Linked DNA regions of Mus musculus. The protein of the gene in region 1 purifies or fractionates together with the protein of each later gene. This does not show direct contact. Links are inferred from orthologs where the notes say so. Each region holds a gene or a part of one and is shown on either strand. Other genes may lie near its edges.

Region 1 (2,551 bases):
AAAGACGTTCTCTCCTGCCTTTTTTAGCTTGGTGCAGCTGTGTTTGCAGCAAGATCCTGAGAAAAGGTAATACTAGTCACCTCTAAGTAGCATAAAACATACGTGCTTTACATCTTATAGTAGTTTTACGATATTACTCTTCCCATAAAATTAACGTATCTTGATCAAGAAACTTAATCTGAAGAGTGTCAGTGCTAAGAACAAGTCCAAGTAATGAGCAGGTATGGAGAGCAGTTGGGCTCCTTCCGTGGCCATGCCACGCCCAGCTGAGCTGCCTATGCCACGCCCAGCTGAGCTGCCTATGCCACGCCCAGCTGAGCTGCCATAAACAAATCAGTTCTTAGTGTGTCTGTTAAGGCACCTTTGGAAACTCCTAAGAAGTTAAAACAGTTTTGTGTGTGTACATACACACACACACAAACACAATAATGTACACATACACACATTTTCTGATGTTAGATTTTCTAATAACTTTTCCAAAAATTTCAGGCCATCAGCAAGCAGTTTGTTGTCCCATGTATTCTTCAAGCAGGTGAGCTGGTCCATTATCCATTGTTTTAAATATTTTAAAATATTATTTTTAAAGGCCTTTATTAGTTGGCTTCATAGGACACTTGGGTTACAAAAAATTTAATAATAACTTCCCTATAAAATAGAATTAAAATAAGAACATTTTTAGTAGTTAATTTTAGGCTTATTTGTGTGTGTGTGTGTGTGTGTGTGTGTGTGTGTGTGTGTGTGTACATGGTGTATGTTCATGAATGTGTCATAAGGACACTTGTGGAAGTCACCCTCTCACTCCATTGTGTGGACCCCAGGATAGAGCTTAGATTTTCAAGTACCGGTGTAAAACACCCTTGGCACCTTTGCCTGGTGAGCCATCTAGTGGCCTTAATTATATATAGAATATTTAAAAGATTTTTATTCTTCAAAAACAAAGCAGTAAAAATAACATATGTTACACACACTATATTTTCATTAACTTAAAACTGGTGTCTGTCTTACCTAGAAATAATGGCAGGGCAGAATAATTCTGCTTAAAATTAGTTTATTTAGCTTTTAAGTCTTTGGTTTTCTCGATTGTCAGAACTAGAAGCATTTAAAAGGAAAAGACCTAAAAATAATTTTAAAGTTTTAAAATTTCTTTAAAAGTTATTTATTGCTTATAAAATTTGTGTTGAGTCTCTGTGCCCATGTCACTATTTTAAGTTTCTTTAACAGATGAAAGAAGAAAGCCAGGATTCCATACTTCCCCTGTTGCCACCTGCTTATAACAGGCCATCAGCGTCACTGCAGCCAGTGTCGCCGTGGAGCGAGCTGGAATTCCAGTTTCCTGATGACAAAGACCCAGTGTGGGAATTCTAGGGTTGCCAAATCATTTCATGTCCTCTATACTTGACAGCCTCTCCTTGCTGCTTGTCTTCGGTCCTGTTAGGTACAAATGACAAATCTATACTTGAAAATACAGTTGGTGCACTGGAGAATCGATCAGTTAAACCACTCTGTTCATGGGGCGTGGATTTACCCTCTCTGCCCAGATCAGAGCACCCGCACGACTTCCTCGTCAGTTACTGCCCAGCTCAGCTAGTGTCCGCTCGCCCGCCCTTCCGCACATCCCCCGCTTCTTTTCCACCTTTTAAGCTGTGACTGGTACTTTCTGGATCTCAGTGTAACTTTTGAGCTAGTTAATTCTCTTCTACATTTTACTGTTCTCTGGGGAATGAACCCTTCCTCGGAGGACACTGCTTCCAGAGCATCTTCTCTTCCAGATTCACTAGCCTTTTTGATCAGCTATTGGTAGATGAACAGGCTGGTTTATTCTGGTATAAAGCCCTTTTTTGGAGAAGGGAAAATGTTTGTACTATTCCTTTTACATATGGCAACATCAAACTGAGCCTTGCTCACATTAAATAATTCACTTGAACTATAAAGAGAAGATGCAATTTGCATTTTAAAGGGGAAGGGGCTAACAACACTTTTCTACCTGTGTAAATTATAGATCATTAATTCATGCACCCTGTGGGAGCTCAATAAAAATGTATAAAATTAAACATCTCTTTTATATATTTTGTGTGGCTTAACAAAACTAGAACACAGATTCTAATTTGGTTTGCTGAGAGAATCTCTTTTTTACACATAATTTACATAACATGGTATAAACTTCAGGCAATCTCCTAGAGACAAATGGCATGTTGGCCTTTTATATGCTTGTTTCTGTAGTGGGGTAAACCTTGAAGCCCATGCTGTTGTTAATGGCCCTGCGTCCCTAGCAGGAGATATTGTGTTTTAGTTACATTTTTGTTGCTATGATAAAATCCCACAATCAAAAGAGTTGCAGAGGGCTAGTTGTCCTTACTGACAGAGAAGGCAAAGCAGCAGGAGCAGAGAGCTAAGAGGTCCTATCTCAGCTACATCACAGGAAGCAGAGAGGGGGAACTGGAACTGGGGCAAGCCTACAAGCTCTCAGAGCACCCTCTGCAGCGTACTTCCTCCTGTAGGGCAAAGAGCATCGCCGAAGAGCTGATCACCAACACCAACTAGGTGTTCAGAT
Region 2 (3,991 bases), about 27 Mb from region 1:
ACAACAGCAGAACTCAGGTCCTCTGCAAGAGCAGGTCACACTCTTAACCTCTCCAGCCCCTCAGTGGCCTACTAAAAGTACTCCTGCTCACATAGCAGAGGTCTGTGTGCCCGTCTCCACTCCTGGCGATCACATAAATGTATTCTACCAACCAAAATACATTCAATAAGCAGCAGTCAGGACCAAACCTTGATGAGAAGCTAATAAACAGACTTCTAACAAGAAGCCTTAAGGGAACAATGCAACCTTGACAGGTAAAAGCCTAATAAAACATTTAAGAAAACTTTCAGACTGGTTCTATTGGTTCATGCCCAGCCCTTAGGAGGCTGAGTCGGGAGAACTATCTGGAATTTTAAAGCTAGCTTGGCCTCCACAGCAAATTCCAGGACAACTTGGGCCAGAGTAAGAGGTTGTTTCAAAATGCCAATAAATAAACAAATATATAAATAAATGTACTTAATATATTTTTAGGAAAATATACACAGAAAAAGATCAGAAAGGAAATATGCAAAAATGTTTACAGAAACAAAATCTAAGTGATAAGATTAAGAAAACTTAAAGAAAAAAAATTCCCAGTCTATTTTGTAATTCTAGCACTTAGAAACCCAATGCAGGAGGATGACAGGTTGGAAGACCTGAGCTACACTGTTTCAAAAGATGGGGATGGGGTGGGGGAGAAAGGAGAGATGGACTACTGCTTCCATGTTTCAAAGAGTATGTCTTACTTTAAGAAACAAAAATTAGAATAAAAAGACAAAGTCTCTTACTGTGATCTAGCCGGCTGGCCTGGCCTGGCCTGGCCCTCCTCCGTCTCCAAAGTGCAGAGGCTAAAAGCGTTCACCACCACCACCACCAGCAGCAGCAGCAGCAGCAGCTAGATCTTACTTTGATAAAGAAAAATGTAAGACTGAAAAAAAGTATGATTTCCTTGTACATATAAGCACTTACAAAACCAATAGTAAGTTCTAAGGCAATTCTTACAAATCATATATTGTAAGCATTTAGTAGTTACTAATTACTTGCTAATTTTTTTAAACCTGTAAAATAGAGCTTAAAAACTTTCACTTCTGGCTCTCCAATATTTTCATAACTAAAAATTAACAAGAAATTTTTTACTTTTCCAGAAAAATGGTGTGTGTCCAACTGTCTGTCTAGACTGTTAACAGTTCAGTTCTTATTACTATTTTTTTTTTTATAAATCTACAGTTTAATGTTCAATTCCAACACAGGGATCCAGAAGTTCTGATGCAATTTTAGAGAACTCACCAACGCAAATGCCTTGTGTGTAGAGAAGGTTAATTTAGGCACCTCTTTTAATTACTTCAGATAAGCACGCATCTAGTGACACTTTCTACAAAAGGTATTTTCCTTGGCTTGGACATAGATTTACTTAAATATCCCGGAAGCTGTCAAAATCGACCTCAAACTGCATTATATTTAGGAAACAATGCTAAGTCCTGACTGTGGCCTTCTCTGCTCGCCTGTCTTTCTCAAGAGCGCCTTTAATATGCCCTAGCATACATTTCCGGCCTCATGAGTCACTGAAAAATGAGTTCTAAGTTTTCCGTGGAAGGTCGTTCAAACAGCTCCTCTACAGCATTCAAAGATCTGACTCCAAATGCCTCTTTAGTCTACCCCACCTATCACGGCACCCGGTGATGGAATTGGCAACATTCGCATGCTCTTTGTACCTTTGTCCTCCAGCTTTGTTGCCCCTCCACGCCCTTCTCCACTGCAACCCCCTTCTCCCGAATCCAATCGAGTCTTCTAGACCCGGTTTAGCACCGCCTCGCCCAGGAAGCCTCCCAGGTTCGTGGGAAGGCGGAAACGATCGACAGGTCCAGTCACCCCGGAGCACCTTTCTAGCAATTGGTAGTTCCTAAACGGAACTTATCTATCCCCCTCCTGCCTGGTATCTTAGCTATTTGTGTACTCGTCTTATCTCTCACATCACCGCGTTAAAGCTCCCCAGGGGAGGGCACCTCCCGGCCGGGTTCACCTCGGAGTCGCTCCGGCACCGGCACGCAGTCGGCGTTTTGGATTGCTCCAACCGAACCCGGGAACGCGCCGAACGCACAATTCCTAGCCAGAAATCAGTTAGGCATTTTCCTGAAAGGTCCCCTACAAAGATAGTGTCAGCGTCCCGCTAACAGTGAGGCTACGCGGAGCCCAGGGCTAGGTGCTCGGAGTCCCCGGAGCGGCGGGAGTGACAGCTGGCCGGGCCAGCTCTACCCCGGTTAGTTGTAGCCCCGGCCGGCAGGCCCCCGGAGCCTAGTACGGGCGAGGACAAGGGCGGCGCCCGGAGCTCCGGCTGCTCCGGGCCGCTCCCGCCGCCGCCACCCGGGAAAATGGAGGCGGGTCGGGCGGAAGCCGGCGGGCGTCCGCGTCGCGAGCAGGGCCGGGCCGGGGGATCACTCACCGGGCTGGGCCGGGCCAGGGAGCTCCCTCTCTGCTTCGTCTCCGTCCCCGTCCTCGGCCGCCGCCGCCTCGGGCTGCTCGCTCGGTCCCCGCGGCGCGGCTCGGACGCTCCGGCCCTCCGTTGTCCTCCGCCCGCAGCTGCTCCGGGCGACGGGCTCCCGCGGCGGCGGCGGCGGCTGCGCGGGCGGACGGTGGCCCAGGGGTTCCTGCTGTGGCCGCCGCGGTGCTGCGCTCGGTAGGGCTGCGGCTGTGGCCGTGAGGTCCCGCACTGCCTTCGCCTCTGAGGTTGTCTCAGCCTTCGCGCGGCTACTGAAGCCCCAGACTCTCTCAGGCCGCGCGGCTCCTGGCGCCCCGCGCCCAGCTCCGGCCTGAGCCCGGCTTTGACGTGCGCACTGCGCAGCCGCCGAAGGCGGGACGTCGGGCGGCGCCGCAACGCCCTCTGCGTACTCGGGCGCCCCCGGACGGCCGGGCGGACTCGGGACGCCTGAGTCGCCGGCAAGTTGAAGAGCTGGGGGCACTGAGAAAAAGCAGAAGGGGAGCTGGAGTCGTCGTCTATGCGCCCCTTACTTGCTAGTTCCTGGAGGAACACAGTCCACTTCCTCAAGTCTTAAAACTTTACATCTGCGGAGGGCTCAAAACTGTTCAAATGGGTTCTTTCATGCTTGGGCAGAACCTGTAACTTCACTTTGGCATCTCCTGACAGGGGAAAAAAAGTGATGAAATATTCCAAAGAAACAAGATCCAACAAGGGTACATATCCTACTTTTTCCAAAGTGGATTTTAGTGGTGCATGCCTGTAATCCCAACACTGGGAGGTGAACTCAAGAGAATTAGGAGTTCAAGGTCATCCTAGACTTCACAGGTTTAGGTCAGCCCGGGCTGTGTGAAAAACTCTGCCTATAGATAGATAGGGAAGCAAGTTCCATGAAGAAAGAAAGAAAGAAAGAGAGAGAGAGAGAGAGAGAGAGAGAGAGAGAGAGAGAGAGAGAGAGAGAGAGAGAGAGAGAGAGAGAGAGAGAGAGAGAGAGAGAGAGAGAGAGAGAAACAAGTGCCATGAACACACACCCAGAGGAATAAAATAATGCATTACAGAGATCTAATGACAGAGTCTGGAACTCAAAAATGCTACATGTGTGCTCCTTTGCTATATGCTTAACAATGGGACAGGATTTTGGACAGCTACAGTGTGCTAAGGAAGTGGTTTCCTGAAGGAAGCAAGGCGATGTGAGCCTCCTGTGAGAACTTCAATACTTGAGAGAAGCAAGCTATCCATAGGATTTGGAGCAGGAAAGGGCCAGGCTTTGGCGTTTTAAAAAGGTCGTGATCAGAGGCAGGCGAATTTCTGAGTTTGAGGCCAGCCTGGTCTACACAGTGAGTTCCAGGACAGCCAAGGCTACACAGAGAAACCCTGTCTCAAAAAAAAAAAGTCGTAATCACTGTTACTGCGATATGAAGATCAGAGTGAAGGGCCGGAGGAATTCCACAAATACAGTAGACGGGGGTTGCTGACACCCTATAGTAGGGCTCGGGGGTATAGCTCAGGCTATACTATAATTATGGTAGATTCTGGATT

What was found.
Region 2: the proteins of Stradb (region 1) and Cab39 purify together in Homo sapiens (affinity purification with mass spectrometry; 3 studies listed by BioGRID and IntAct, counting the BioPlex papers as one, with this or other methods). This does not show direct contact. The link is inferred for Mus musculus from reciprocal best matches to the Homo sapiens genes STRADB and CAB39.

The regions. Positions count from the first base shown.
Region 1 is NC_000067.6:58,993,072-58,995,622, forward strand, and holds the end of Stradb (STE20-related kinase adapter protein beta), read left to right. Parts: coding exon 1-66; intron 67-489; coding exon 490-532; intron 533-1,221; coding exon 1,222-1,365; 3' UTR 1,366-2,051; downstream 2,052-2,551. UniProt on the Homo sapiens protein: Pseudokinase which, in complex with CAB39/MO25 (CAB39/MO25alpha or CAB39L/MO25beta), binds to and activates STK11/LKB1.
Region 2 is NC_000067.6:85,792,250-85,796,240, reverse strand, and holds the start of Cab39 (calcium-binding protein 39), read right to left. Parts: upstream 2,801-3,991; 5' UTR 2,420-2,800; intron 2,353-2,419; exon of another isoform or gene 1,267-2,352; intron 885-1,266; exon of another isoform or gene 768-884; intron 1-767. UniProt on the Homo sapiens protein: Component of a complex that binds and activates STK11/LKB1. In the complex, required to stabilize the interaction between CAB39/MO25 (CAB39/MO25alpha or CAB39L/MO25beta) and STK11/LKB1.